Macaca fascicularis: one gene and its partner. The protein of the gene in region 1 purifies or fractionates together with the protein of each later gene. This does not show direct contact. Links are inferred from orthologs where the notes say so. Each region holds a gene or a part of one and is shown in the gene's direction. Other genes may lie near its edges.

Region 1 (17,144 bases):
ATGATACAAAGAGATCATATATAGCCGAAAAGTCAATAAATTTTTTTAAAAATTAAGAACTGTTAATCAAACCACATAATAAAACAAAAAGTACAATGACAGAAGATTTTAGCAATATAAATGGAAATTAAAAGTTTAGTTTCTAAATTCTAGAATATGTAACTTCCAAAAACTAACTAGAAAAATGAAAACAGTGAAAATAGTCAAAAGATATAAAAAGGAAATTCCCTCATATATATCATATATATAGATAGATAGATTTCCCACTACTGGTAGATACCCAGTATCTACTCAACCATAAAAAGAAATGAATTAATGGCATTTGTGGCAACCTGGATGGTATTGGAGACTATTATTCTAAGTGAAGTAACTCAGGAATGGAAAACCAAACATAGTATTTCTCATTCATATGCAGAAGCTAAGGTATGGGGATGCAAAGACATCAGAATGACATAATGGACTTCAGTGACTCACTGGGAAAGGGTAGGAAGAGGTGAAGGTAAAAGACTACAAATAGGGTTCAGTGTATACTGCTTGGGTGATGGATGCACCAAAATCTCAAAAATCACCACTAAAGAACTTACGTAACCAAATACCACCTGTTCCCCAAAAACCTAGAGAAATAAAAAATATTTTTAAAAAGATGAGAAGCAAAGAAAAAAAATTCTAAACATAAAAGAAATAGCACAATTACTTTTAACTCTTGTTTATACAATTCATATTATAGTACTTTTTACACAATGGTATCTGTTGTAATTATATCAGTGTTAGTCAATTGAGTTATCCAGGGATCATGAAAAATACAAATGAAGACTCCTTATTCAAACCCTGCTTTTAGCCGTCATTCTTAAAATAGACAGGTTCGTGATTGGAAGGCACACATTTAGATTATCCTTAATTTGCTGGGGATTGAGGTATGACTCAGAATCCCTGATGTTCCCTTCCTGATGCCTGCCTTTGACACTTTAGATAATTTCTTTTAATGGGGTGATGGTTTCACCAGAGCCAGATTAGAACTGCCACGTTGGAAATATATTATAAATATGTAATAATTTCGATTATGTAGTACGGTAAGTGAGCATTATCTGAATGTCTTTCCTTGCTCTCCTGAAGCAATTCATCTGAATTGAGGAAGAGCTCAAAAAAATAAGAAGCCAATGATATAATGCTATGGCACGATGCTCTGCAACAATTAAAAATATGATTGTGAACAAACTTTAATGACATGGAATTATCTCACAGTATTATTAAGTAAATAAATAGTTTCCAAATTCATAGCATGATCCCAATGATGTAAAAATAATGTTAAAACTAACAATAATTATAGATACATGCATGCAAAGACACACACATTCCCAAGATGAGGGTAGAAGAAAACCAGCTACGCCAAAGCGTTAACTGTATTTATTACCAGTTGGTAGAATCCACAGATCACATTCTATTCTGTTTTTTCTCTATTGTCTATTGTGCAGTAGACACAAAATGACAAAATTCTGTAATTTACAATGTTCAATTTCATTCTGAAGAGAATTAATTTAGATGAAGGAAAACTTCAGAAATATCCTCGTTTTTGCCTACTTTCTAGAAATAGTGAGGTAAAATTGGACTTCTATATATTATGTTTGTGACTGATTCAAATAAAATTTCATTTTATTTCCAGTTTTGGAGCTGAATTTGGTTTTGAAGGGAGTTCATTTTCTAATCTCTATGATATAAACCTAATATATGATTTTAGTTTAAGTTTGGAAGTCAAATTTGAGGGTAGATATCTTTCCTAAAGTAAAGTACTTCCAAGATTAGAGGTTCCAAATGACACCTTTGTAAGAGAAATGGTTTATATTTTCTATTTATATTAACAGTAAAGTAGTATTTTGATGGGCACCTATCACATTAAATTGAATAAAAAAGGAATTTTATTTAAAAATAAAATGAAGCTACCTTCTATTTCATCCAAAAATAATAAAGTATCAAAATGATTTGCTTAAGCCATCCTAAAAAACAAGGAATTTGTCAAACCATTTTCCTCCAGAATTTGGACAATAACTAACCAAATATTCTGAAGTCATTTGCCACACAGGAGGCCGAGAAAACAAAAATGCTTGCTAGGGCATTTTTCTCATTCTTTTCCTGCTTATATTTCTTTCTTTCTTTTCTTTTCTTTCTTTTTTTTTTTTAAAGACAGAGTCTCACTCTGTCACCAAGGCTGGAGTGCAGTGGTATGATCTCAGCTCACTGCAACCTCTGCCTCCCAGATTCAAGCGATTCTCCTGCCTCAGTCTCCTAGGTAGCTGGGATTATAGGCACATGCCACCACACCTGGCTAATTTTTGTATTTTTAGTAGAGACAGTTTCACCCTGTTGGCTAGCCTGGTCTCAAACTCCGGACCTCAGGTGATCCATCCGCCTCGACCTCCCAAAGTGCTGGGATTACAGGTGTGAGCCACCGCACCCAGTCTCATTTCCTACTTATGTTTCTCATTCATATTATGTTTGCTTGACTTTTTGCTAGTGGTTTTAGTATAAGGGCAGCTCACAAAGTTTTCCTTTGTTTCTCAAAGTGAATAAAATATCAAAAAATGCACCCACATTTCAAAATCAATAAGGTGTTTATTTTACACCAAAAAACATGGAATAAAGAGCAGATTTCTTAGTTGGTACATTAGTTGGCTTTGGATAGTCCCAATTTCTGAATCTTGTTAACAGTTTTGCTATCTCACAGTTGTATTTGAAATCAGTGAAACATGAATCAATGAAAACCTCTGGTGTAAAAATATTCATTTAAACTAATTTGGCAATTTGCCAACTGGATTTCTCTTTATATATTTTATATATTTAGAGACATGCTGAAAATTATTTCTGATACTGTGGGGGTTTTTTTTTCCAGATTGGTTAAAATATCTATGGAATCTTGAGAGTCTTTGCTGTAGCTATTCCCTCTGTCTGGGAAGTTCTTTAACCAGGTATCTGCTCAGCTAATTTCAACTTCCAAGTCCTTGCTCAATGCTCACTTTCTCTACTTAAAGACCCTACTTAATTCTGCAAACTCCTTGCACTCATATTCTTCCCACTACCCCACCCCCAACTGCCTAATCTCCCTTACTTTGATCTACTTTTTGTGTTTCTCATCGCAGTCAACAATTTCCATGATACTATATAATTTACTTATTTCTTATATTTACTATTAAAGGTACATTTATTTCACTTACAATTTAAGCTAAAGCAAAAATGTTTGTCTATTTTGTTCAACAATATATCCCAAGTACTTAATACACTTCCTGGTGCATCGTAGGTACTCAATATATAGTTTAATTATTTGAAATCAAACAACATATCAATGAAATGTCAGCAGATAATTCCACTGTTTTTGGAATATATGTGATATAGTACATCCTACCATAACGTGACTTCAAATGACTTGACTTCACTGAACATAGGCACCAGTGTTTCCCTATCACATATGGTTTCTGATGAATGAGTTGAATTTAAGACCATAAACAACTGCTTCATTGTCTGGGTGTATTAGGGGTTGTGTTATAGTCAATGGACATTTTTAGTAAGATTTTCTCTAACTCTTCATGTTATAGAGGTGCAGGTGTCTAACAAGAAAAAAAAATTCCTTCTGAAATGCTTTGCAACCCCAAACTATATACTAATAAACAACCCCATTCTCGATTATAGACATCCAGGAGCAAGAATGAGGGAAAGAAATAAGTATTTTTAAAACGTTTAAACTTTTATTTATTTATTTATTTGTTTGTTTATTTATTATTTTGAGATGGAGTCTTGCTCTGTTGCCCAGGCTGGAATGTAATGGTGCTATCTCGGCTCACTGCAACCTCCGCCTCCTGGGTTCAACGGATTCTCCCACCTCAGCCTCCCAAGTAGCTGGGATTACAGGCATCCACCATCATGCCCGGCTAATTTTTGAATTTTCATAGAGACAGGATTTCACCATGTTGGCCAGGTCAGGCCAAGTTTTGGACTCATAACCTCAGGTAATCCACCCACCTCAGACTCCCAACATGCTGGGATTACAGGTGTGAGCTACTGCGCTCAGCCTTAAAACTTTTAGTTTTAAAGAATGAAGAGTCAGTGAGGGAGGCATTAAGGCCTATATTTGGGTGATGTTCTTTTAAATCATCTTGTAGTTATGTGAGAAAATAAGGTACAGAAATGAGAGCAAGATTAAATGATCTAATCAACCCATAGTTAAAAATCCCAGGATATTCTTAGTGTCCCAGGCTATTGTGTGAATAAGTTGTTCCCAAGTGGCCTCATTCAAGGAAATCTAAAAGAATGGCCAAGGATTGCAGAAAATGTATTTGAATGCTCAAAGTACATAGTCTAAGCCATAACAGAGGGCTGTGACATCTGGGTACTGCTCAGGATGATGGATGGTATAAGTGTAGCCTGATTAGTGTCTTGGGATAAACAGAGAGCTAATGCAGGACAGTCAGAGGTTTGTAAATAAATCTATTACTGACATCTTAGATGAATCTGACCTTTGCAGTGCCAGAATAGATGACAATATAATACATTGGTGCCAAGGACTAGCTCCAAGGAAACTTTGTTCTCCATTTTGAATAAAATTTTAATGATGAACCAATAGCAGAATCTATAGGTATCTATAGCCTTTCTGCTTTTGGTATTTTGTGTTTTACTACAACAGCATAATTCACATATGCACAGAAAAGTTTATCTGCCTTGTTTTAGGTACCTAATTTTTTCCCTTAGGATACATATTGCTGCCTTTGTGTGTGTGTATCAAATGCTTTAAGTGGAAAAATGTAACAAAAGTGCAACTGTGTTAAGTTATAAAATGTAATATTGTTATCCATCTTGAAGTCTGTGTCTTGGGATAAGAACACTGTTTTCAATTTAAGTATTAAAATAAGTTCTGTCATTAAGCAGAGATGTTGTACAATACAGCCGGTAACAGCATAGTGCTGGGGTCACCCTACTGAGTTCTAATCCCAACTTCACCACTTACCAACTGGATGACTATAGGCAAATTACTAGCTTCATTGAGCTTCAGTTTTCTCCTCTATTACAAAAAAAAAAAAAAAATACTTCACAGAACTCTTGTGAGAGTTCAATGTGATAATATGTATTTTTGGAATTATAGTGCTTTTCTTCCCCTATTCTTATTGCCCCCTTGCTACTTCATTGTTTTCTTCACTGTATGCTTATGCAAAAGGGTAGATCGTTCTTCTTGTTACGGTTGGAAAAATACTAAAAAAAGAATGGTAAATTTATATACCTGAACATGATATTTTCATCTGTGAATTTCCAATTCATTCCTTTTCAACCTGAGCCATTCCACTATGACCATAGCTTAATTCAAATCAATTATTTACTTTGTAAAAAGAAATTATTTTTCTTCTTTTCTCCTCTTATAAAAGATAGCTCTCAGACAAAAGGATATAGACTTTGGGATTGATAAAGTGACGGCATAAAAGATGGGAAAGGGCAAGCACAGAACAAATCTTAATGAGGTGTTGATCACTGTTACCTATCGTTCCCTTACATGTTCAGAAGTTCCTTGAATCCATTTTGTTGCTTTATATCTCTGCCACTGGCTCACACAATTCCATGGCCTTTCTCTTTATGTAGAGCAGTCAGAACCTACTTATCCAGCCAGACTCAGTTGATTTCCTGTTGCCCACCAGTTTCTTGCCTGCTGCCCATCCCCTCCTCTGCTCCCACCCTCCAAAGAAGAAATCATTTCCTTCATTATTCTCCATTCCCTCTGAAGCATCTTTCTAACACAGTTCCTCTAAGCATGATTTTAATTGCTGTCTTTGTTCACTAGATGGTAGGGCCCAGAGTCGACTACCACAAGCGTGTCTCTCATTCTCCTGGCGATAATCTCCTATGAGTGTTCCTCACCACAGAGCTTTACTGTGGGGTCAGGTATCTCCTGCCCAGCCCTGATCTAATCATCTAGTTCTAGTGAGCCACCTACAACTGAGTGTGTGTGTGCATGTGTGTGCATGTGTGTGTGTTATTAGAGGTAGTGTAATATAGTAGTTTGGTATCAAATTATCAGAGGTACATCTTAATTCTATCAATTTACTTTTTAACTGATTACTTACTACTTGATTTTGGGCAAGTTACTTCTCCATGCCTCAACTGTCTTATCTCTAAAATGAGATCATTATAGTACCCTCTTGTAGAAATATGATAATGTTTAAATAGGACATCTAAATGCTTAGAATAGAGCCTGGCACACAGGAAGCACAATGTTAGCCATAATTATACTTAAATAATAGTAACCTAAATAAGTTAAGTAGGAGATCCTTGCAATCAATGGATCTGATTTCTCAATTTAAAGTGTCTTAAGGAAAGATGGCTGACATGAATAATTTTCACCCACTTATAGAGAAGTAAATATGGATGCTCATAATGGTCAAATCTATTTTGAGGGCAGGCTCTGAAAGGCTTCTTTCTTGTGTAAATTTTCTCCAAGACTCACCTCATAAGGAAAAGAAATGATGCATCTTATGTGGAGGAAAAGTCCATATGATATTTTTAATTTATCTTGTCAAATGTAAACGATTCTTTTCTGACATAGCTCTGTAGGCCACTACTAATTTTTATGGTTCTCTCATAGTAATTTCCATGCTTCTTTGAATTACAACTAACTTTTAAAAACCCTGATGCAGTATTTTAATGAAGCTTTTATTCCAAAACACCAAGTCACCTTTACTCTAGTATTAGATCACAGTTAAGGAAAAACAGCACCTGTTGACTCAGAATATTTCTGAATGAGTTAAGTGGTTGACTTTTTCATTAATTGGCTAATTCACTCATTGCTGTTTGGCTTCATGAACAGCAATGAGTGAATTAGCCAATTAGTGAAAAAGTGAATTGAAGCCATTACAAGTATGATATTAGATTGACTCACACAGGCATATGACATTTTTTGTTACTTTATCATTTTTAAGTAAATTAATAATGAATGTCTAGTCACCAAAATTACAGTCCACTCAGGGTTATTTTTACCATGCTGAACTATTCTAATGATATATCTGGCCAAATTGGAAATTGGAAAATTTTGCTGCTAAAGGAATTTTCATGCATAGTTTAATAATTCAGCTACCTGTAGCCCTGGGCAAAATACATTGCCAGCAGGATGCTTTTTGGCAAAGTCATAGTCAATTATAATAATGGAAATTGTAAATGCCCCACCAATAAATGTTGGAATTATCTGTGGAAAAGGAAGGGGTTCAGAACATTACTGCAGCATTGTTTCATTACCATAAGTAAGTACATTTTATTCTTGGAGACCTATGTAAGTTTGATAGTTAGTTATTTTAGGAAACAAGAAAATAAGAATAATAGACCTATTGTAAGTGGAATACAATTATTTTTCCCTAACCTCCAGCCCTGCAGCAGTTCTAGTACCAGATGTTAGACGAGAAGAGTTACTCTTCTAAGCTTTACAGACTGCTAAATAAATTATCTCAAAGTTTGATTCAGTAAGAATTTCAGAGTTAATTGTCAGTATTGAACTTTATCAACTATTATTTTCATTCATTTCTGAGTATCTATTTTGCATGAAGCATTGTTCTAGGGAGTTGGGAATGTTCAGTGAATAAAATCATCAAAGTTCTTCACCATTGGAGTTCAAATTCCATTTTTGGGGGAGTAAGGAAATAGATACTAAACAATGGATTTTATAAGTAATTATTTTGGTTTGTTAGAAAGTGATATGTAAGTAGAAAAGTAAAATGGAGGACAGTGAATCAGGAATAGGAGAAGAGGTTGCAGCTTAGAGTGGTTTGGGGTGAAATGATAGTGCCACAGAAATGGAGTGTGCCACACGCATGGGGGAGTAGGGGGTACAGCACTTGCTAGAGAGGGACTGCATATGTCTCTATTTTCAGCAGAGAAGGCCTGTCAAGTTATTAAAAATACATCTCATTGTCTCCCTCTTCCACTTGTTGGAGTGCTTCCTGGCCTTGCTCTCAGAGCTGAAGCTGACATAAATCATAAAAGATATAAATGGTACCGTCTGGGCTTTCTGATCTTGCAAGGTCCCACCTAATTTAAGCTCTGGTGGATAGCCTATTTCCCATTAGTTGTCTCAATTCACAGAGGATGGAGAAAGAAAGCACTGAATGAGATGTGCAGCTCAACTCGATGAGCACTCGTTAGCCCCAATTATTTGGCTAGGACAACTTTATTCAATTTAATGGAATCCAAAATTCAGCAGTTCTTATGGAGCCTTCAATGTACTGTAAAGCAAACCACAGATAAATGAACTGTCTGAAAGAATAACATGAGGCACTGCTAAACAAGTGTTATGGAAGAGAAAGATCACTGTAATCTAGAGTTAGTTAGAGTTAGGGCTTTCTGGAAAAGTGAGACCAACATTACACCTTCGAAAACTCTAGTGTGGTAGTGGTGCAAGTGGAGGAAAATAGGAAAGACGCAACAACATCCATGAAGACACAGAGGCAAAAAGGGCAGTGGCCCTGGGATAGTTAAAAGAGAGAAGTCTAGCTGAGGGCCTTCTTGACTTGACTAGCGGCAATTAGCCATGACTAATAACGCTTTCCACACTCCAAAGACTTAGATGGGGGGATAAAAAACCATCTACATTAGGCAGACTGTGGTAGCCTCCCTAGACCCACAGAGCTGGGCCGGATGAGCCCCGGCACTGAAGTGATCTATTATCTTTCACCATAAAGAGTAAAAGGGAAACTAAAGATAATTACCTCCATGAAACAAAAAGGTGCCTTCTTTTGCTTCAATCACATGGATATATTCTACTAGTCTAAAAGTATCGTCTCACTTCTTTCTGTCACACTGTGAGGACTTGAGTCAGAAGAAAGTTTAAATACAGGGATTGAGCTGGAAAGAGTGGAAAGAGAAGCAAAGAGGGGGAAGCTGTAGGAAGGACGAAGGCGCTCGCGAGATATATGGTTACGCTTACACCAAGCAAGCTGCCTTGGGAACGCTTTCCCCAAGCAGCCAGAATGCTCAGTAGTGGAAGACACCTCTATTCCTGTAGGCGAGTCCTGGGAAGCTGGTCAATCTGCAAACGCCAATTCTAGGCAGTGAGCTCGGTCCACTTGTAAATCAAGATTTGGGGAAAGAGTAGGGTAGGTGGCATGGTTGACGCTGTCATCAGCTCCCCCCTCTGGCTTCTCTGGTCATACCCCCATCTACTCTCACCCAGCTACACCCCACCCTCGGATTTTTGATGGACGCTGGGTCCCTAGTAACCACAGCAAGCGCCTCCCCCGCACTTCCCCCTTCCCCCACCCCTCACCACCACCACCCCAGCGATGGAGCCTACTCTGCTCCAAGCCGCCGCTAAGACCCGGAGAAGCGGAATTTCACTTTGAAACTCCCGTGCCTCGTGAGGGCCGGCGCTGGGCATGCTCAGTAGCCGCGGCGCTGCTGCTGGGCTGCTGGGCTGGCGCGGAGTCCACCCTGCCGTCTCCGCCTTGGCTTCTGGGCGTCCAGAAGGCCAGGCATTTGCCGCCTCTGAGCGCTTCTGTTCCCCTTGCCCGCAACCTCCTACTCTTCTTCCTCTCTCCCTCTCTTAGGGAGGTTGAAGCCGGTGCTGGTTTGTGTCGGCGCCACAGACTGACTGCTCTGCAAACCCCAGCCGAGGACCTGCGAACGAATCCCGGAGACTAGAAGACCCTTGGCGGTGGCTCTTTCTAATAGTACTTTACCTGAAGAGGGGTCGTGGTGGAGTTTCTCGTCCACCTCTCAATGCAAACACTATGTGGAGAGCAGTCGGCTTCCCTGCGCTGTGCCTGCTCCTTAATCTTCACACTGCAGGTAAGGGGTTGCCAGGCGTAGAGCCGGAGCTGTGCATGAGATGGGCAACTGCACATGCTTAAGGACTCTAGGAAAAGCTTGTCTTGCGAAGAAAGCCTTTCTAAAAAGGTAAAGCAGGACAGTACCTGACAGGAAAGGGGTGAGGGAGTCGTGCACCTGTTGGAAAACTGAGGCCGAAAACTTAAGCTAAAATTAGATTTTGATTTTTCTTTCCCTTACACGAAACTAGTGAACATTTTCAATATGAATGCAGGTTTGCTCCCCCCTTCGCCTCCCCTCCGTCTAGATTCCCTGCTCTTGTTTCTAGGCTATGCACTTAACTGTCAGTTTTTCAGGAGAGGGACAAGACATTCTGCTGGATGTAAGCTTTTCTACTGCAGCGGCTACATTCTTAAGGTCTCTTGGTCTAGCGAGCGCCCATAGGAAGGCATTGGCTGTAACCTGATGGACCACATCTCCGCCCCAAAGATCGAAATACATGGTTCACATTAGTGATGCTGCTCCAGGCTCCTTTGGCCCCTGCTCTTGTCACTCGAATTTTCTAAACCAATAAGAGGAAGGAAAGGTTTCAAATAGAATCCTCTTGTCTCTTTCAGCACCATGGCTAGCGTCCGCTGGCACTAAAAAATAAATAAAAATAAAAATTACAGTTCAAACCCTGGGATAGGCACTGTCCCTAGGACAGATTTGATAAGGTGTAACCAAGAGTAACAGTGAGACTGCTCCCAAATATAAATAGATTTGAGGCACCAGAATCAATATCAAGTATCGTGTGGAAGCAAACCTGAGAGATATTATATGTGGTGTCCCTGCTTTTTGGATACATAGCACCTCTATTTTATGCAGAGGACTTGCTGGGCTGAATTCCTTATCGTTGTCACATACACATGAACCGAAATAAAATGTGGCAGAGATATTTTAGAAACCCTACTGTGACAGCAGTTGTCCATGCAGCAGTCCTGTAACAACCAGAGACTAGGCATTTTCCCTGAGTGTGCGTCTCATCCAATCACACATATCCATTCATTCCTTCAACCAACATTTGCTGAGCGTATACTATGTTCTAGGGGTAATGAGTAAAAATAATTGTTTGAAATTACAATCCTTGCGGTATCTTTTTTAAAAGAGTGGGTGAATTTTATTCTCTGTGTACAATAGTGGGAGTGAAATATGGTTCTTTCTTATTCCAGCTAATGCTATTATTTAAATGTATCATGAATCTTTTGAGCATATAATGCATAGGGTTATTAAAGCTATTATTAAATACACATGTTAATTGTTATAATTATGATGTTATATTGTGGGGTTTTCAATAGTTCTTTGGTACATTTTGAAAACCAGAAAATAGCTATGACTTGATTATTAAATTATTTGCAAACAGCTGTAGTGAGTTCTTTCATTACCACATACAATTCTTCAATGCTGAAATATGGGACAAAAACATACACATTGGGTTGAGTTTTATTTATAGTATTGCTTAATAATAGACTGATACAAACATTCATTACAGAAAAATCTCAATTCTTACTAAGTTAGCAATGATTTAGTTGGTCTGCCAACAATAGCAGCGTAGTCATTTTTTTCAAAACTAACATATAAAAGAGTTTAAAGATAACATTTAATACACCTTGAGTAATTATATCTTAAAAGTTATAAATAAACTTTTAAGCATGTGAAAAACATGTCTTAATTTACTGTAGATGAATATTGGGGATGAGAAAAATAGAGGACTTTTGCTCATCAAATGAGAAACCTAAAAGCTTGTAGCCCTAGATTATACCTGGAGCTCTGCCAAAGGGTGTATTACCAAAGCCAATCCAATCCATCTCTACTTCAACTTTTTAACTGCAAAACAAAGATAAAAAGTAAGATTAATCAACCAATTTTAATTTAATAAGACAATGCATTTAAGGACATTTTTATATTTCAATTGCAAGATGCTGAATATTCATTGTATTCATATTTAATATGGTGAAATATATTGGTGTTTTATCACAACAGATTGCAAGTTTAATATTATAGTTCTCTTGCCAGTTGTATTTTAAATGCATTTTAATTTTAAACAGCAATTTGTGGGTCACAAGCTGTTATCAGATTAAAATTTATCACAGTTATCTAATGACATTGTTAGGGCTTTTCATCAGAACTGAAACAAACATAGCTCCTTGGTCTAAGCTTCTATACATTTGGAGATTAACAAAATAAGTGGACAGGATGACAAAGATCAAGAAATCACTAGTATCTCTACTTGTTGAAGGTGTGAGTTTGTTACTTTTGTGGAAGACTTTTCTCTCAGGACAGAGGCCGACTTCATAAAGAAGGGAAATGAATTCTATACATTTACGTCTCTTTAATTGTAAAGCTAATTGATCCATTTTGGTTATGCCCAAGGTATCAGCAACTGCTTTATGCTGGTGGAACTGATGACATCTTACAATGCTTTAGAGATGGGAGGAAAGGGTTGATGGGATGTAAGTGTTCTTTTTAGCTATACTAGGAACTGTTGCCTTCAATATAACCATGCCCCTAATGATAAGTAGCAAATTGCTTGCAACTTGAGTGCCATCTCCCATTATTTTGGTTATGGTTGCCTAAGACACTGTCAGGGGAAAAAAGAAGATTTTGACGCTGAATTCTGGCTAGGGAGAAGTATGTGGTCTATAATAGCTGTGGGAGAAAAATGAGGAGTGGGTACAGTGCTGTGTAAGTGGCATCTCTGGGTAAATTAACACTAAAGGATTACTAAGCTTGGTTCTTGTTAGAGAAGCTGGACACAACTCTACCCATGGCAGCCGATTTTTATAGATCACCTAACAAGGAAGCTGTGGTTATTGTCCATTCAACTGCTTATTTTACAGGTGAGAAAATGAAGATCTAGAGTATTAAAATGTTAGTTAATAGCATAGTCAGGATAAAAGCCCAGGTTTCCAGACCCGTGGCTGCATACTGTATAAAATTATACACTGGTTCTACAATAGGTGAAGCCACCATTGATTAAGTTAGTGGTACAAAATACTTTTTACCTAACTGTCCTTATTCTTTACTCTTTCTGTGAACCAGTTTAATATATAAACTCCAGTTGAAAATACCACTTCAGGAATATTCAAGAAGGCAATTAAAAGCCATCACAATAATACGAATGGTAAAAGAATATTATGTGGAAGATCCACAGAGCTTATTTTCTTCAGCATTTCTCCTCTTTCTTTGTCCAAAGAAGCATATTCCGTTTGAGGAGATATTATTTATAGGGTTGTATTTTAGTTGCAAAAGAGTACATTTTTGAGATATATCAAAAATTCTCATGTGAAAGCTTTCTTTTTCCTAGGGAATGTTTTGCTAACAAAATACAGAAACTGATTTCAATCCATAGATTTCTCTTTGAGTTCTGGAAAAGGTTCTTTCAAATTTCCGTGTTGCTCTCACTATCAGCCTTTTTGAATGGCACAAAGACTGCCTTCAGTGTATCTCCTGAAACTATCTCTTCACTCTCAGAGAAGTGCATAGTCAATTTCTCTAGTCTCTGAGAAGAAAGGTATTCTATGATGGTGCCAAGAAGATCTGGGAGGTGATTTGCAGAAGTACCACCCTCAAAAGAAAGGATAGACTAACAGGTAAATGATATATTTTAAGATTTTAAGATGTTCCTTAGAACTCTAGAATTTGTTTTTCCTATTGAAAATCACTCAATATAGACCTTACAATGGTCTAGAGTCTCTCTTCACATTATTTCTATGATATTATCTCTTTTTTAAATCTCTCTCCAGCCGTATTTATCCTTCTGTTTCTAGAAGATGGCAGGCACTCACCCTTTCATACTCTTTTGCTTTTTTCTTTCTCCAGGTATCTCCATAACTTAATCCCACAATAATTTTAGGTCTTTAATTAAATATTACCTTCTTAGTGAGGTTATCCTATTTCATATTTCATCTTCCCTTCCCCCCATCGCCCAGATAAAAATTCTAGCACCCTTTCCCTGCTTATTAACTATTTTTTCCCCAGAGGTCTTCACCACCTAACATACAATTATTTTACTTTTGTTTATTGTAGTTTCCCCTCTCTGTATTAAAATGTAAGCCCATTTAGGGCCCATATTTTTGCCTGTTTTGTTTATTGTTACATGTATTGGAGATCCTGGGCTACTTAGTACCTGGGGGCAGTTCCTGACATAAAATCTTTCTAAAGATTAAATAAATATGTTAAATAAATAATGATAAGTGATATTTCTGGTCTCTTCTTTTTGCATTTAATATATTCTTAACACCCAGAAAAAACACACATAGTCAACTTAGCCACTTCCAGAATGGACTTAAATGGAGCTCATTTGTCCAAAACTCATGTTGCCTCACATGCCCCCAAAACATACTATCTCTAACAGATTTTGCTGTCATTGTGAACTGAAGGGCAATAAAGGATGGGTTTGTGTTAGACCAGAGCTACTAATCAACTGAGTGAAAAAAGTCTTTCAAACTGATTGCCAGATGTTGTGCAGCCTAAATGCTTTGCTGTTGGCTACATTTTCACTTCTCAGTGAAATGCCTTGTACATGTAGGAATGGCTACAGGGATCAGCAAATTTACAAACAGAGAGTCTAATGCACTGGAAAAAACCGATTTGCTTCTTAGGTACTTAAGAGACATAGGAACATGTATATTTGAAATGACGTATTTCTAGCACCTCCAATAGAATAGCACCTCGCATATTCCATTGAAAATCACATCCTGCCTAACACCTTGTAAAAATTCTGGGATGCATTATGCACATTCAGCCTTTTCTTCTTTATTTCTCACCTACTTCTCTATCAACTTCAGTCCTCATCCTATCATCCTATGGTTGAACATAATTAAATAGGTCATTATAATGTACATTCTCGTTATCAATGCATTTCCATAGTACTCATCTATTTTGACCCCTTTCCAAATTTTAAAATTTTTCCTCACTTGACTTCCACAGACAGTCATTACTCCCTAGCTTCCCTCTTATCTCTCCAGCCATTTCTCAGTTTGTACTTCTAGGTCTTCTGCTGTGTATTATTTAATGGTCAGTGCTCTCTACATCTTCTCATTGATTTTTTGTTATTTTTCTCTGTATACAATCTCCCTGGATAATTATACTCAGATATGCATGTCAAAGATTCCAAAATCCACATTTCCATCTCAGTTATCTCTCCCGAACTCTGGTTCTATATTTAAAATTACCTAGAAGTCATTGTATATTCCATAGTAATCTTTTTGTTGTTATTGTTGTTGTTATTGTTGTTAGAGACAGGGCCTCACTCTGTCGCCCAAGCTTGAGTGCAGCGTTGCAATCATGGTTCCCTGCAGCCTCGACCTCCTGGGCTCAAGCAATCCTCCTGCCTCAACCTCAGAGAGCGCTGGGATTACAGGTGTGAGCCACAGTGCCTGACCCCACAATAGTCTTATATTCAACTGTTTTTACTCAACACTTCTCATCACAATTACTCTTAGAAACATTCCCTAATATTGTGAGTAACACCAGGATTCCTTACAATGACCCAGGTCTGAAACGAATAATTCAACCTAGATCCTCCCTTTGCTACTTTCATCTTAAAGGTTACCAACTCTTCTCATAAGGTCTTCTCTACTCTCCATGTTCAGGTCACTGCCTTGGGACAGATCCTTATTTCTCACATAATATCTTGTGTTGACCTCCTATCAAATTCTTTCATCTTAAAGGTTACCAACTCTTCTCATAAGGTCTTCTCTACTCTCCATGTTCAGGTCACTGCCTTGGGACAGATCCTTATTTCTCACATAATATCTTGTGTTGACCTCCTATCAAATTCTTCATAATAATGTAAGAGGTGAAACTCTTAAAAGCATACCTGATCATATTCTTTCTCCATAAAATTCTTCAATACAGCTATCTCCTTTTCTTTTAGAATAAACTCCAAACTCAAGGCAAAGTCTTTTGTGATGAGGTCTTTTCATCATGCCCTCCTTTGCACACTAATGTCAAACCAAGACAAAATTTCCTTTAGTTTGCCATGTCTTGAATCATTTCACGTACTGTTCTACTTCTCTGAAATACCAATACTCTGCTTCCTTTTTTAGATGACTCTTTCTCCAACTTCAAATATTGATCAGGCATAGCCCACTTCGAGAATCTTCTTTTCTTGAATGCCTCACCTCATTCAAGTAGCTCTCCTACATTTCCCTTTTCAAACCTGTATATTCCTCTGTCAATGTACTTAACCTGTATACTGAAGTTTTTTGAGAACAATAACACAATTGCAGCTTTATTTCTATATACTTATTCCCTAGAACTATGCTGGTTACCTAGTATGGCATCAGTAAGTATTCAATTAATGAATACGTATATTAAATATATTTGGTAAAATGAATTATGATAAATTAATTTACATTGACCAAGAGATTATATGTCATCTTCATGACCATAAAGAAGATAATTGACTTTACTACTCTTCTCTTAATGCAATTTACACTTATTGACAACAAGGAAATGGAGATGGGACAGAAAAATTTCTATTTAAATATAGTCCATAGGATAAGTTTGTGTCCCATGGGCATGATGTTATTTGTAGTGTACTTGTGTGCTGAACTCTTTCTAGATGTGTAGACATTCTTGCATGATTTTCCAGTACTACTTAAGAATAGAATGAGATTAATTTTTTTTTTAATTTAAAGAGCTCAGAGAGTTAGATAAGCAACATAGCATGATAGTTGTCCACTAAAGAATGGACCCGGAACTCCTAACCCTGATTACTGATTGGTTATTATCTACCTAGAGCAAATATAAGACATTTACACATCCAAAACCAGGTGGGAGTGTGAGACAGTGGCTTCAACAAATCAAGACCAAAAATAATTCAACCCTCCTTTTCTCTCTGAAATAAAAACCAAATCATCATACAACATGTCTGAATATTTGAGTGGTTGTATACATTTTTCTCTCTCATTTTATGTGTATATGGTCTTTATGGAATCATAAAGTTTTTGGATCCCACACATTTTTTCTTGTAGAAGACATTCTTACACCTGAGGAATGGAGACTATTTTGTGAATTATTTAAAAATCACTTTATGTGAGATGATCAGATCAAAAATCAAAAGCCCATTCATTGCCATTAGTATTAGAGATAACATGGATGTTATATTTTATGGTAAGTTTATTGTTAAATCTTACAAGTTGTTCTGTGAGTCAAATTCAAAAGCTAGTGAAAGCCATTTTTCCTTTAAAAGGGGATTTGAAAGATTCTACTTGGCCCATGAGTGCATTTTTCATCTTCAAGGCATTTACAAATGCTGACACATTTAGAGTAGCATTGATGTTTCCCAACATGAAGGATGTTAGTAGTTTTGAAAA
Region 2 (16,528 bases), on another chromosome or scaffold:
AGGAGGAGCATGTCCTACGTGAAGTGATCATCCTGCGGGAACCTTGACCTAGAGGGATTCACCGTGTTGGCTAGGTTTGGGGTGTTTCATTTTTGTTCTCGGGGTGTTTTGTTTGTTTGTTTTTGTTTTGTTTGTCATTGTTTGTTTTTCATTTTTATTTCGTCCCAACATTTTCCTTTATGGTCCACCATTAGATATTGATCAGTTGAAGCTCATTTTAAGACTCGTTGGAACCCCAGGGGCTGAGCTTTTGAAGAAAATCTCCTCAGAGTCTGTGAGTTGATGCTTTGTAATTATCTGCCCTGTTGGGAGCCTCTGCCACTTGCCTTCTACCAATCTGTACTTTGACCTGGGTGTGTTTGTAAGCACACATACCCTTTGTGTGCTGACTTCCAGGATGAGTGAGGTATAAGATAGTGTGAGTGTGTGTGCGCGTGCACGCATGTGTGCCTGCTTGCATGCACAAGTGTGTTTTATTCTCTATCTGGGTACACACTAAGATCATGAGAGCCTCTATTAGGCAATAGTATCCCAGTAAAGCAATGAGATTTGAGATTCTAATTCATTAATCCAAGAGATTAATGCAAAATGTGTGTCTCTGTCCTCAAGCTCTGACTTTCATCTTTCTCAGAAGTTTCACGTATGCTCTAGAGCTCTTTTCACTGTTTCTAGTGTTTGTTCTCAGCGCATGAACTTCACCATGTATTTAGTGTAACTTAATCACTAAAAGAATAAAATGTACATTGTCTGCACACTGTTGCCCCTTCCCATAAGTTATTTTTTATTGTTTTAGAATAGATACTCACATATCCTACGTAAAATGTTCGTTCCCAACAGAGGGACCTTTCTACCCAGTCCCTAGACCCCACTCAGAAGAAACAACTCCACTCTTGATACCTCAGATCCACAGGAATGTGGTTATAAATTTTCCTCCTATTGCCTTATAATTATAAGTTAAATAACCCGAGACAGAGTTTGGAGCTAGTGCTTTCTTGCTTCTAAGCAGGGACTTAGACAGAAGCCATGGGAATGTGACTCTGGCTTACTTTTGCTTGATTTCCTGCTCTTGGTCATTTTCTTGGGCCAGAGGCATGAGAGAAGCCATGAAAGCCCAGTTTTTTTTCCTTTTTCCCTCAATCTGCTGCCAGGCAGTGGAACAAAAGAAAAAATGAGCTACGGAGCCAAGCTCCAGTTATGCCTTCCTGGATTCTCCTCCCAACATTTATGACTGAAGGGGCCCTTTGCCTAGTTGGGAAGACTGCTGGGTAGCTTGAGGCAGGCATAAGTAGGTGAGTTGGAACTGTTCATTCACCTTCCTGACAAAATAAAGAATACCGTCATCTGGTATGTATCCGGTACATTTCTTGAAAGGATGCCAAAGCCCAGTGTATTTCTGAACCTCCACTCTGAATTTTGTTTCATTTACTTATTTAAGATAAAGAAGCAAAGGCCCAGAAAGGCAGTGACTTTTCCACGTCATGCACTGAGTCACGTGGCAGAGCTGAGTATAGATCCCAGATGCTGGATAACATGATCCAAACTATAATCGCATGTGATTACATACTATTTTGGAAGTCGTTGTCAGTGTTACCACAATGTCAACCTAAAGAGGTATTTTTTCCCCCTTTATGATATATAGAAGCTGGATTAGAGTGAATCAAAGATATCAGATGATGCTTAGAAAGGGCAGTACTTTTTTTTTTTATGTTTTTTCTTAGAAACACTGTCTTACAGTAAGAGGCCCTAAGGGCAGAGGGAGGACTGGGAAGGAGCTCAATTAATAAATAGTGCTAATGAGACCAAGCAAATTCATTTCTTTCCTGAGAGTGACTCTTAGCAGCCCTTTCTTAGTCTTCTCTTCCATCCCAGCCATCTGCCCTATAGATATGTACTATTAGTCGCAAGGAATTCAAACCAAAGTCTAGGTAAAATAGTCAATAGTATTTATCTCTCATTAATCCATCACTTATTTTTAAGAAAGAAACACTAGGTGCACAGCCTAATAGTGGAGGTCCCTCTGTGAAATGAGGCACATTATATATTTCAACAGCTCTACTGAAATTGAGTACCAGAATACAGAACTTGACTCAAATAATATTATATTGAGTGTAAGAATAAGAAAGTTTTTTTTGTTTTTTCCTACATAATTGGGGCAAGTGGATAAAAGTAGTTTAAACATCCTAAGGGGTAGACAAGATTAATTTCGTGTTCACGACACGGCCCAAGTACCGTTTATCTTGTGGTAACATAATGGATAAATAAGGCCAGGTGAGTAAAATTGTTCAGAGATTTTTAAAATTTTAAAAATTAAAGAAAAAAGACATTAGTGAAGGAATGCAGAAAATAGGAAGCCAACAGCTATTTTCATTCTCCTGAAAAGTAGTGAAGTAGCGATGCCAATAATTATGAAGAAATTGAATGCTGAGTAAGAGAATGCAGTAATGGATTGAGAACCTATTAGGATGAGCCATAGGAAAAGGTATAAATGGGTTGTGATGGAGGCCAAGGAAAGAGAATTCATTTGATTAATGTCCCAGTTTTTGTAATAATCAGTGAAAGAACAAGAAAATCATGTTAAGAAAGCAAAAGCAGACTGGGCACAGTGGCTCACATTTGTCCTCACAGCACTTTGGGAGACTGAGGCAGGAGGATCACTTGAGGCCAGGAGTTTGAGGCTGCAGGAAGTGGTGATCGTGCACTGCACTCCAGCCTGGGTGACAGAGCAAGACCTTGTCTTTAAAAATAAATAAACTAATTAATTAAATTAGATAAAAAAGCAAAGACCTGACTCATTCATATTTTCCTCCAGAAATAGAATCTTTCTAACTTCTTGACAGAAAGGGGATATAAAAAATAACCTCTTTGACTAAAGGAGACAAAGACAGAAAATGCGCAGGCCAGGTATTGTTCACAGAAAGGAAGGAGAAGTGGAGGATTTTTACATTTTAAGACCCAACTGGTATATTGCTATTGCTGGTTTATTTTGTGGCCCCTTTTTGTTACTTCCCTTGGCATGAAAAGTGTCATTTGTTATGTGATTTGTTAAAGGTAACTCTAAATTCTGTTTCCTAAACTCCTAACAAAACAAAGAATTCCATCATCTGGTATGGATCTGGTACGTTTCTTAAAAGGACCACAAATCAAAGTGTAATTACTACCTCTTTTGGAATTTACTGGCCTCTGTCTTTGGGTTTAGGGAGCGTGAAAGGCAGCGTGGAGCACATGGCTCTAGCTCTCTCCCTGTGGCCAGCCTTAAACAGATTACTGCTAAGTCATCTGACCACTAGGGAGTTCAGTTCAGAGGACGAGCTAAAGTAGAAAAATTATTTGGGAAAGCCACAAAGAAGTAAAATTGCTTGGCCATGGTGCTTATTGAAGATGATGCTTCACCTGAATGAGGGAATTAGTAGTTAACAAGAAAAGGACTACAAAAGGGGTTTATTGAATTACATTGAAGATTTTTAAAATCTCCTCACTTCTGCTCTTGGTAGGAACATGATAAACAGTTCTTACATTTTAGAAGAGGGCAAGTTGTATTAACATTGATAGAACAGTTAAAAGAGAGAAGTTGTGGTACAGCTTACATATGTGCCTATACATATAGAAAATCTCATAGTTCTGCCCTTGTCAGATACTTGCAGAGTATTTTGCAGACTTCCCTCCACCTGTTTGTTAAGTGAGGTTAGTCTGTTCGCTTGTTGAAGAGACTTGTGGAGGAAATCATGTGGCATGCTTTAACACTGTCAGCAGCCTGTGACTTCTGTTTTGCCTTTGCCATTAGCCTCTAACCTTCTGCCCGTCTCCTCTTTCTTCATTTACCATTTTGTGTTTGTGGCAAGTATTTTAAATGTACCACTAAATAATATCTTTGAAATGTGGCATTGCTTATTAACCCAGATGCCTACGTGTATCTTAATTCGGAGGGATGGTGCCTTGGAGAACCCGTGCTGCAAAAGTTTAGTCTCTTTCTTGAATGGATATGTTGGATATTTTATTTTGTTCAAAGTTTGAGTCAAAAATTTTAGAATCATCTATATTTCTCCCACAAACAGGTTTTGGCCGTCAGTACTTGAAAACAGTTCTCTGGCTGGCATCCTGGATCAAGGGGCAGTCTGTTTCCAGGGAACCTAAAATATTTAACAGTAAAGATGATGCTAAAACCAAAGAAAAGTAATTTTTCTTATCTGCATGGCCAGTCACTGACTACATGCCTAGTTACTCATGTCATTCACAGAAGCGACTCATGTCATTCACAGAAGCTTTAACATGCAGCCTTGGGTCCTCGGGTAGGGTGAATGGGGGGTAGGTTTTTTTGTTTGTTTAGGGGTGGCTTTTTGACCTTTTTAAAAACTTGAGTTGAAAATTATTTTTTGCACTGTATGTTTAACAATGCCCTTGACTAGGCATCTAAGATATTAACCAGCTTCAGCAGATTATGCGTCTGACGGGAACACCCCCCGCTTATCTCATTAACAGGATGCCAAGCCATGAGGTGAGAACAAAGAGACTGTACAGGGATGTCGCACTGAGAAGCCACGTTCTCATTTTATTGCCACTGTATAACCAACAGTTTTTAACATCACTGGATGCTTGCATGTGCCTGGAGGCCTGCCTATGTGCTATTGCAGGATGTTGACTTTTGGGATAAAATGTCATCCAGTCTTGTGAGATTGGGGATGGAAAATTGTTATTTTTATATTTGGTTTTGTGAATTTAGTGCTCGTGAGGCGGTTTCTTTCTAGGTGCTATGCCTGTAGCTAGGGTGTGCTACTATCATGACCTTTATCAGAAGGGTAGTTAACTGAAGTCCATTAGCATGCTTTCTAATTCATCCACTTTTTTAATGACCAAAAGAGAATTCTTTATTTAAAAACAAAACAAAACAAAACTGAAATATCCAGTACTAATACATACTATATTTAAAAGAAAATACACAAATAATATAAAATAAATACAAACACTTTGGTACAGTTAGGTACCTTCTTTATTCTTAACTACTTAGTCTAACTCTTGTTTTATTATCAGAGGTCATTGGGGCACTTCTTTCTTTCTAAGATACCCTTAATATTTTAGGGAACCGGGTTGGCATCACAGAGAGCCCCTCCCAGCAACTTTGTTTCTACTTCGGCTATATTCAGGTCATCTGTTGATTTATCTTTATTAAAGGGATGACTGTTCTCTGAATGAGATAATTGTCTCTTACCTGTTTTCCCTTCATCTTTTTATTTACATGTTCAAGTAGAAAGGGATTACAGCCATTTATATATTCAATTCCTACAACTTTCTTTTCAAATCAGAAAGATTCTCAGTTGCTTTTCAAAGCAGACCTTTCCTCCTGACTCCACATGCAATCATTAAGAAGGTGAAGGCTGGGCGTGGTGGCGTGCATCTGCAATTCTCAGCACTTTGGAAGCTGAGATGGTAGGATCAGTTGAGCCCAGGAGTTTGAGACCATCCTGGGCAACACAGCAATACTGCAGGTCTACAAAAAAATTTAAAAATTACGGCATGATAGCACACGCCTGCAGTCTCAGCTACTTGGGAAGCTGAGGCAGGAGGGTTGCTGGAGTCAGAAGTTTGAGGCTATAGTGAGCTGTGATTGTGCCAGTGATCTCCAGCGTAGGCAACAGAACAGAGACTGTGTCTCTAAAAAAAATTTTTTAATAAATAAGGTGAACTTGCCCAAGCAACCAGATTTTGTTTTTGTTTTTGTTTTGTTTTAAGATAGGATCTCACTCTGTCACCCCAGCTGGAGTGCAGTGGCACAATCTTAGCTCACTGGAACCTCCACCTCCTGTGCTCAAGCTTCCTGGGCTCCATCTCCCTGCTCAAGTGATCCTCTTACCTCAGCCTCCCAAGTAGCTGGGACCACAGGCATGCATCACCATGCCTGGCTAATTTTTTGTGTTTTTAGAGACAAGTTTTCACCATGTTACCCAGGCTGGTCTCAAAGCCCTGGGCTCAAGTGATCTGCCCTCCTTGGCCTCCCAAAGTGCTGGGATTACAGGCGTGAGTCACCGTGTCTGGGCAACCAGAACTTTTTACAACCTTGTGTGTGTATGTGTAAACATAAATATACATACATACCTTTACTGTTGGACTGTATTAAAACAGAAATTTTAAAAAGGTGGTTAAGATAGACAGCAGACTTTGCTTTTCTCTGAAGGTGATAGTGGGATAGCAGATAATGTTTCTTGAACTCTCACTTGGAACCAAGTACTGTGTTAAGAAAGTACTAGGTTTGTTATCTCTAATCTTCACTCCAACCCTGTGAGGTAGGACTGTTATATTAAGTTTATATTAACTTTTTTGTTACCAGTGTTACTTTGTTAGCAAGGTTTAATATTGATGTCCTTTGATGTGCTAAGAGCACCTGCTGAAGTCAGCACTATCAAAAGACTGCTGGTCCAAGACTTACTTTGGGAATACCAACCCTTCTAACAATTTTAGCTTTTTGAGAAGGCTGTCTCAGAAAGGGCTACTTCTTACATATCTCGGCCTCAGTTTTTAAACTTCTCATCCTGTGATCAGAAAGCTGATGAAAGAGAATTTGATTGATGAGTATTCTCGTTCACTTGAAATGCAACTGTGAGAGATAGCAGGAATAAAGAAGGTGATGATCATAACTAGGAAGTTAGGATAGCAGTAAGGGAGAAGTTTTATCAAAGACAGTTATAAACATTGGAGTTAGTGGACTTTGTCAGTTAACACTCGTTCCTTAGCAGGACCAAGGTTCTTTCTTTGAGAGAAGTAACATTATTGAACAAAGTAATTCTGAAAACCCTTGTTTTTTCAGGCAAGAAACTATATTCAGTCTTTGACGCAGATGCCGAAGATGAACTTTGCGAATGTATTTATTGGTGCCAATCCCCTGGGTAAGTTGACAATATCCTCACCTCATGGATATTGAATTGGTTATGATATAAATTGGGGATATGAAGAAGAGTTTCTCCTTTTGACCAAATAACGTACCATTAGTTGAATCTTGGAAGGTGATAAATATGGCTTTTATTATCTATTTGTGTTGTCAGATTTTTTTTTAATTACATGAGATGCTTATATGTTTAAATGATCACAGACCTTGGGGTCGGGGGAATGGGCAGGTACAGTGGAGAAAGGAGAGAAAGTAATAGGAATGTTGAGATAAAGGATTGGAGAGGCAGGAAGAAGCAGATACAGAAGAAAGCTGTAGCTTGTTCACAACTGCTGTGGATTCATGGTGTCCCTGAGTGGAGGACAAAAACCACTGAAGTACAGGTGGGTGTTTAGAGGACCCACCCAGGAACTCCCTGCAGGGTGCTCTGCTCTGTCAGTAGCTGCCGTTGCTACAGATCCTGTCATCTTCCACACACATGAACTTTTCCCCTCCCTTATTCTTTCTCTGCCCCTTAGAGGTGTAACTATCCTCTCCTCTTTGTGGAGCTTATTTGCTACCTAAACTTAAAGAAATGGCTTCATATGCCTTCAAGATCCTTGGCAGAGGGAAGTGATGGTGGCAGTTGAAGATATGTGTTGCCTTGGCTAAAAATGCAATTGCTTTATTATTATTATTATTATTATTGTTATTATTTTTTTTGGTAGTGTCAGGGTCTCAGTCTGTTACCCAGGCTAGAGTACAGTGGCACAGTCATGGCTCACTGCAGGCTTAAACTCCTGGGCTCCAGTGATCCTCCTGCCTCAGCCTCCCACATAGCTAGGACTACAGGCATGCATCCCCATGCCTGGCTAATTTTTTAAAGAATTATTTGTAGAGACAGGGTCTCACCATCTACTAATCTTTGTCTCCTGGGCTCATGCAATCTGCCCACCTCAACTTCCAAAAGTGCTGGGATTCAGATGTGAGCCACCATGCCTGGCTGACTATATTCTTTGAAGGGGAGGACTGATGTGTGCTTCAGATGGTCCCTGAAAGCTGCTTTGCCTGAGCCTCATTCCCTGACTCTAGAAGAGGGCAGTGGACAGTGCTGTTTAATGGTAGACACAGAAAGATCAGACCAGGACCTCCCTACAATAGGGAAGGGAGCTATGCTATGATAACGAGTATAATCCACCTTCTCACTTTTCTTAAGATTGTATTGCGTGGTATGTTTTAAAATCTCACTGCATTTCTTTGCATCTGTGTGGGTCATGTGTCTTCTTAAGGGTCTTGGCAGCTATGCTTCAGGTTTAGTTTTATCTTTTTGAGGGCCGACAGCCATGCTGACTTCTTTAGAAGCTGGGGTGAAGGCTAGGTGATTTTACCTTTTTAAGTACTTCATCCATAGTGGTTATGGAGAGGAATTTTAGTGTCGCAGTGATAATTCTTACAATAGCAGAGATGCTCATGCTCTTTGAAGTATTGGGCAGTTGTGGATGAGTTCGTGTCAGCCTTGGAGACGGAGAGTATGTCATATCTCAGCTGGGTTGCTCTCCTGCCCAAGGATGAATCCACAGTCTCATCAGGGGTAGGTACGATTCTACTGAGATTGGTTTAGGTTTGCATCTGCCCTGGCATGCTCTAATTGACTTTGTATGATTTATTTGAGCTGAGAAGCTCTCTTTGAGCCTTAAGTACTACAGGATGTTGGGAAAAGATGTTGTGTTCTTTCTTTTTTTTTTTTTTTTTTTTTTTTTTTTTTTTTTTTTTTGAGACGGAGTCTCGCTCTGTCGCCCAGGCTGTAGTGCAGTGGCACGATCTTGGCTCATTACAAGCTCCGCCTCCTGGATTCAAGTGATTCTTCTGTCTCAGCCTCCCAAGTAGCTGCGACAGCAAGCGTGTGCAACCACGCCTGGCTAATTTTTTGTATCTTTAGTAGAGACTGGGTTTCACCGTGTTAGCCAGGATGGTCTCAATCTCCTGACCTCGTGATCTGCCTGCCTCGGCCTCCCAAAGTGCTGGGATTACAGGCATGAGCCACTGCACCCGGCCCGTTGTGTTCTTTCTTGTCTGTCATTCTGTTCTGAATTTGTCCAGAACAGCCCTAAGCCCTAAGTTTTAAACAGGGCAGTACTCACTGACACCCTCTTAACGGACTCAGAAAGATTTGTTAATTCATGTTTTAGTGGGAGAGGGGAGATATTTGTGTTCCAGCAGCTTATTTAGGTCACATAGCTCCTGATAGGTCTTCCCATTCTTTGAAATCATGACGTTGAAACCGCCAAAAGAACTAGATACCACTTTGCTAATGAGTTGAAAGGAGGCTTTGGTCCATCTGGTGCTCAGCACTGTACTTCTCAGCATTTAAACGTGCCTTACAGCCCATTGCCAAACAGTGATGTCATATAATGAGGTTCCCCTTGCCGGGCAGATGGAGTACAGTGTTACTCTCACAAGCTCATGCCCAGCATATTAACTGAGCAGGAACATGCCAGCAATATAAATATTAACAGCTCTGTTTCGTCAGCCACTGACTTTGTTTCACTGCTATTCCCAAAACATGAATTAAAACTTAAATTACCCCTTGATGTTAGTGTATATATTTATCTGTCAAGATTTTTTTTTTTAAGAAATAGCATCTCACTCTGTCACCCAGGTTGGAGTACAGTGGCACAGTCATGGTTCACTAAAACCTCAAGCTCTTGCATTTAAGTGATCCTTCCTCTTCCCTATCCCAAGTAGCTGAGACTACAGGCGCATAACACCATGCCCAGCTAATAATATCTTTGAGGAATCTTTTTCTTGCCCCTGACCTTATTGGTTATAAGAACATGGTAGTTTTTACCCTAGGGGTAATAGAGACTTGTCATATAATCTGTGTTCAATTAGAAAATCAACAGCTGATAAGGTTTCTTTTTCTAAGAAGAGAAGACCATCAGAAGAATATATGTATATATAATCCAGGCATTCACCTAGTACTGTACTGTAAAGTGTAAACTAATGAACTTGAATTGACACATGAATATTCACTTTGTTTCTGTATCCCCCTGAAGCCCATATTTCTCCAGTGGATTACTCTGGAATTCAAGCTGTAGGACAGGGGTGTTTTACAGCCTCCAGTATACACAGCAGTCGATCTCCATAGAAAGCTGTCTTCTTCACTATTTACCCCCACCCGCTCCACATTTAAGAAGTAATTTGCAAAGTCTCAAAAGCCTATTTCACCACAGTGATAACTGGTTATATGGCAGTATTTATCCTCCCAAGTGCTGCCATGCTGAAACACAAAAATACTCATTTGAAATACAGAGTTAGACAAATCACCATTTTGTAACCCCTTATGAAAGAAATAATTGCTTTTGGAAAGGAAACCCAGTGAATGCAAAAAGCCATAAGTGAAAGGAACGGATATTTATTTGGTACCAAAATATCCCACAGATTACTTGCTTTGGTCAAAGGGGAAACATCTTAACCCAGTGACCAATTTTAGTTCATTAGTAGTGGGACAGATGGCCTTAATGCATTATCACATGCATGGCATCACCTGTATTTTTGCTGAAAATGTTTGACCTGATTCTTACCTAACTTCTGGTTTTTGGGAAGTACAGGGGATAGTGGAAAGCAGGGTATAGACACATGACAGCAAAAGAAGCAAAATCAGACACATCCCGAGAAACAGTCATTCTCAGGACAACCAGAGGGTCTCTTCAGATCAGAATCGGGAAGGAACAGGGCTTAGAAGTAAGGAGATTATTCTAGACTATGGGAGACTAAAGAAATCCAGTTAGTTGCAGTGCATGGCCCCTAATTGAATCCTGGTTTGAACAAACTAGTTCTAAAAGACAACGTTGGAATAATTGGAGAAATTTTAACATGAACTGGATTTTAGATGATATTTAGAAATTATTTGTCAGAGATGATAACAGTATTATGATTATATAGGAAGATGTCTTTGTGTTGAAATATTTGGGGAGGGTAAAGTATCATGTCTATAATTTTATTTTAAAACAGTTCAGAAAAACATATAAATAAATACAAAAATGTTAATTGTTGAATCTGTATGCTGGGCATGTGAGTGTTCACTTTATCCTTGTTTTTACTTTTCTGTTTCTGTATATTTGAAATTTTTCATAGTGAAATTTTTTTAAATAAAATTCCCTTTGATTTTAATACCATGTCTCACCCCCATCACCATGTAAAACCCCCAGTTTATTCACTGTTTGAAGATCTGTTTGATGAATATTTATTTGTCTTATGTTAGTAAATAAACAGCGAAGGGGGACAAAAAACAACAACAACAAACACACAAAAAACAGTCCTGCCTACCTATTCTAGATTACTGTAGCTGTAGGCTTTTGTTTTTATACAGTTTGACTACACTGGTAGCAGTTTTACATTGACGTTCCACAAAAGCCTGTTCAAACACAATCCTAGTCATTTAAAAAAATTCTTCTTTAGTAACATGTTCTTTAAAAATACAAAATACAGGAGGAGGGTGAGGGTTGAGAAATAACCTGTTGGGCACAATGTTCACTATTTGGTTATTGGGCACACTGGAAGCCCAGTCCCCATCCGTGAGACCCATGTGACAAATGTGCACGCGTACCCCCGAATCAAAAATAAAATAAAACATTTTAAACATACAAAATACAGATACACACACACACGTAAAGGAGAAAAGGGCCAGTATATCCTAGAGTAGGTATTTTTGGAGGAGAATTCCTTGTTTGGATATGAAGGGTCAAAACTATGTTTGCTTAATAAGGCATACTTTTTTGTAACATATTAAAAACTATTTTCCTTCCTGTCTATGGTACTGATAGCTGTCGACTTGCTGGAGAAGATGCTTGTATTGGACTCAGATAAGAGAATTACAGCAGCCCAAGCCCTTGCACATGCCTACTTTGCTCAGTACCACGATCCTGATGATGAACCAGTGGCCGATCCTTATGATCAGTCCTTTGAAAGCAGGGACCTCCTTATAGATGAGTGGAAAAGTAAGTCCTAAGGGTAGGATTAACATCTTGTACCACTAACCGAAAGCGGTGGGAAAATAAAAACTGAATGGTCATAACCAACTTGCTAAAGCTTGTAGTTGAGGTCTGTAATGCAGAATGAATATGTTCTCTGGTGGAAAGTGTTGTAGACAGTGATACTCTCTGGACCTTTGAGATACTTAACATCTGGTCTGATTTTATGCACAGCCCCTCACATATAGGAGCTTTGCATGGAGATTTGAGGTTTTCAGAGTTATTGCATTTACAACATCTCTCTGAGCTAAGTAAAGAATAGGATATTTTTACAGTTTTACAGTTAGTAGAACTGGGGCAAAGAGAATTTATGTCTTATCAGTTAACTTAGAACTAGTTAGGGACATAGCCAGGAATGGAACCCGTGTATCCTGTGTCCAGTCCCATATTCTTTCCATAAAACACAAGTTCAGAACTCCAGTTAAATCCAAAGAGCCAAGACCATCTGTTGCCGTAGCTTGTGAGAGTGCTCTTTCATTCTTGAGCACCTCCGTAGAGAACTTAAGAGGCATTCAGCAATGAAAAACATGAGGAAAAAAAAAGGTTCTTTTCTATGTCCCTCGAACTTCTGTGTGATAACGTGCTCCATTAGAATATTACATACCAGCTGTGAGGTAGCCCATCATACCACTACCTGGACAGGGAGGAAGGATCTTGAGTGAAGTCAGAGTGCTCGCCAGCAAAGAGAACAGCCTAAACTCTCACGTCTTACTTTTCCTTCCCGATGTCTAGGCCTGACCTATGATGAAGTCGTCAGCTTTGTGCCACCGCCCCTCGACCAAGAAGAGATGGAGTCCTGAGCACCTGGTTTCTGTTCTGTCGATCCCACTTCACTGTGAGGGGAAGGCCTTTTCATGGGAACTCTCCAAATATCATTCAAGTGCCTCTTGTTGCAGAGATTTCCTCCATGGTGGAAGGGGGTGTGTGTGCGCGTGTTAGTGTGTGTGCATGTGTGTGTCTGTCTTTGTGGGAAGGTAAGACAATATGAACAAACTATGATCACAGTGACTTTACATGAGGTTGTGGTGACTTTACATGAGGTTGTGGATGCTTCAGGGCAGCCTCCACCTTGCTCTTCTTTCTGAGAGTTGGCTCAGGCAGGCAAGCTGCTGTCTTTTTAGGAATATGTTCAATGCAAAGTAAAAAAATATGAATTGTCCCCAATCCTGGTCATGCTTTTGCCACTTTGGCTTCTCCTGTGACCCCCACCTTGACGGTGGGGCATAGACTTGACAACATCCCACAGTGGCACAAGAGAAGGCCCACACCTTCTGGTTGCTTCAGACCCAACGCTGTCCCTCAGTGATGCGTACAGCCAAAAAGGACCAACCGGCTTCTGTGCACTAGCCTGTGATTAACTTGCTTCGTATGGTTCTCAGATCTTGACAGGTGTATTTGAAACTGTAAATATGTTTGTGCCTTAAAAGGAGAGAAGAAAGTGTAGATAGTTAAAAGACTGCAGCTGCTGAAGTTCTGAGCTGGGCAAGTTGAGAGGGTTGTTGGACGGCTGCTTGTGGGCCCGGAGTAACCAGGTAGCCTTCAGAGGCGGTCATGTGTGCATGTGAGTGCATGCGTATATGTGCGTCTCTCTTTCTCCCTCACCCCCAGGTGTTGCCATTTCTCTGCTTACCCTTCACCTTTGGTGCAGAGGTTTCTTGAATATCTGCCCCAGTAGTCAGAAGCAGGTTCTTGATGTCATGTACTTCCTGTGTACTCTATTTCTAGCAGAGTGAGGATGTGTTTTGCATGTCTTGCTATTTGAGCATGCACAGCTGCTTGTCCTGCTCTCTTCAGGAGGCCCTGGTGTCAGGCAGGTTTGCCAGTGAAGACTTCTTGGGTAGTTTAGATCCCATGTCACCTCAGCTGATATTATGGCAAGTGACATCATCCTCTCTTCAGCCCCTAGTGCTATTCTGTGTTGAACACAATTGATACTTCAGGTGCTTTTGATGTGAAAATCATGAAAAGAGGAACAGATGGATGTACAGCATTTTCATTCATGCCATCTGTTTTCAACCAACTATTTTTGAGGAGTTATCATGGGAAAGATCAGGGCTTTTCCCAGGAATATCCCAAACTTCAGAAACAAGTTATTCTCTTCACTCCCAATAACTAATGCTAAGAAATGCTGAAAATCAAAGTAAAAAATTAAAGCCCATAAGGCCAGAAAACTGCTATCTTCCTCTAAATATGATTACTTTAAAATAAAAAAGTAACAAGGTGTCTTTTCCACTCCTCTATGGAAAAGGGTCTTCTTGGCAGCTTATCATTGACTTCTTGGTTTGGGGAGAAATAAATTTTGTTTCAGAATTTTGTATATTGCAGGAATCCTTTGAAAATGTGATTCCTTTTGATGGGGAGAAAGGGCAAATTATTTTAATATTTTGTATTTTCAACTTTATAAAGATAAAATATCCTCAGGGGTGGAGAAGAGTTGTTTTCATAATTTGCTGAATTTCAGGCATTTTGTTCTACATGAGGACTCGTATATTTAAGCCTTTTGTGTAATAAGAAAGTATAAAGTCACTTCCAGTGTTGGCTGTGTGACAGAATCTTGTATTTGGGCCAAGGTGTTTCCATTTCTCAATCAGTGCAGTGATAAACGTACTCCAGAGGGACCGGGTGGACCCCCGAGTCAACTGGAGCAAGAAGGAAGGAGACAGACTGATGTTGATTCCCTCTCAGCCGGGACTCTCCCCCTTTCAAGGAGAGTGAACGTAAAGGCCTCATCTCCTTTATTGCAGTTCAAATCCTCACCATCCACAGCAAGATGAATTTTGTCAGCCATGTTTTGGTTGTAAATGCTAGTGTGATTTCCTACAGAAATACTGCTCTGAATATTTTGTAATAAAGGTCTTTGCACATGTGACCACATACGTGTTAGGAGGCTGCATGCTCCGGAAGCCTGGACTCTTAAGCTGGAGCTCTCGGAAGAGCTCTTCGGTTTCTGAGCATAATGCTCCCATCTCCTGATTTCTCTGAACAGAAAACAAAAGAGAGAATGAGGGAAATTGCTATTTTATTTGTATCCATGAACTTGGCTGTAATCAGTTATGCCATATAGGATGTCAGACAATACCACTGGTTAAAATAAAGCCTATTTTTCAAATTCAGTGAGTTTCTCAAGTTTATTATATTTTCCTCTTGTTTTTATTTAATGCACAATATGGCATTATATCAATATCCTTTAAACTGTGACCTGGCATACTTGTCTGACAGATCTTAATATTACTCCTAACATTTAGAAAATGTTGATAAAGCTCCTTAGTTGTACATTTTTTGGTGAAGAGTATCCAGGTCTTTGCTGTGGATGGGTAAAGCAAGGAGCAAATGACAAGGTATTAAGCACTGGGGCCTGTCTTATCTACACGCGAAGGTAAGAGTGGCCGAAACGACAGGGCTCAGCAGACTGTGGCCTGAAGGTCAAATCTGGCCCACCACTCTTTTGGTGTAGTCTGCTAAGAATGGCTTTTACATTTTTAAATGGTTGGGAAAGAAAAACAAAAAGAAGTAGTAGTTTTTGTAGCAGGTAAAAAGTAATGTAAAACTTAAATTCCAGTATCCATAAATAAAGTTTTATGAGAACAGAACCATGTTCATCTGTTTATGTATTGTCTGTGGCTGCTTTTGTGCTACAGTGACAGAGGCAAATAGTTGCAGCAGAAACTATACGACCTCCAAAATGTCAACCACTTACCATCTGGCCCTTTAGAGAAGTCTGCTGACCCTTGGCCCAGGGCTACAGTTTTCTCATCTATACAGTGAAGCTCAAGTTTTCTTCATCTTTAACATTTGAGACTATAAGCCATATATTTTTATTATAAAACTGCCAGAGAGAAGGTTGGGTTTGTGTATATATATATGTACATTGTTTGTAAGCTTTTAGGCGAATGTATTTTATGACTGTTTTTCTTAGCTGGCTACGGTCCTTGAAAATACTCTTCAGAATGACTGAATTGCATCACGGGATGAAAGAGCCACAGGGTCTCAGAGCTGATTTCTCAGGGACTTTGCTGATGTGCTTCCTTTCTTGGTGTCCTTGGAATGACAGCCAGCAGGTGTCCCAGGGTGGACCGTGGGGCTCAGCCTGTGAGGATATTGAGAGCTGGGTTTTTGTCTGGGCCCTGGCTGGCAGCGGGGAATGAAGGCAGTGATAGAAGGCAGACCAAGCATAGTCTCCTTTCCATCCCCAGTGACTTCGTAAGGAGGTGAGAGAAAAGGGCCCTGGTTATTACATGGGGTCCTTTAGCTCCTGTAAGAATCAGACAGTTGTAGGGAGTATTTTGCATTCACATACCAGACATGACAGCAGCCTTCCTCCTAGGCTTCTGAGAAGAGGGCCTGCTTAGCCCAAGGAGAGTTGATACCAGAAAAAGCTCCCCTGAAGTGAAACCACTTAAAATGGGGACCAAAATTTCATAGAATGTGGTGGACACTGGGGGTAGGGGAAGCCTGAATGGAACTTTAATCATGAAAATGGAACATAATGATGAAAGCATGTTCATAATTTTAAAGATATATTAATTCTGACAAAGAAGGAAACTAAGTTGTTTTTGAAGTGAAACTGATTTTTGCATCTTACAATAATCTTATTTGGTTTTTGCAACATGATCATAGAAGGAAGTTTTGCAAAAATATTTGA

What was found.
Region 2: the proteins of PTPRR (region 1) and MAPK14 purify together in Homo sapiens (affinity purification with mass spectrometry; 4 studies listed by BioGRID and IntAct, counting the BioPlex papers as one, with this or other methods). This does not show direct contact. The link is inferred for Macaca fascicularis from reciprocal best matches to the Homo sapiens genes PTPRR and MAPK14.

The regions. Positions count from the first base shown.
Region 1 is NC_088385.1:77,648,999-77,666,142, reverse strand, and holds the start of PTPRR (receptor-type tyrosine-protein phosphatase R), read left to right. Parts: upstream 1-9,395; 5' UTR 9,396-9,743; coding exon 9,744-9,801; intron 9,802-17,144. UniProt on the Homo sapiens protein: Sequesters mitogen-activated protein kinases (MAPKs) such as MAPK1, MAPK3 and MAPK14 in the cytoplasm in an inactive form.
Region 2 is NC_088378.1:135,561,184-135,577,711, reverse strand, and holds the end of MAPK14 (mitogen-activated protein kinase 14), read left to right. Parts: intron 1-194; coding exon of another isoform or gene 195-274; intron 275-4,412; coding exon 4,413-4,492; intron 4,493-6,796; coding exon 6,797-6,875; intron 6,876-11,679; coding exon 11,680-11,853; intron 11,854-12,618; coding exon 12,619-12,686; 3' UTR 12,687-14,999; downstream 15,000-16,528. UniProt on the Homo sapiens protein: Serine/threonine kinase which acts as an essential component of the MAP kinase signal transduction pathway.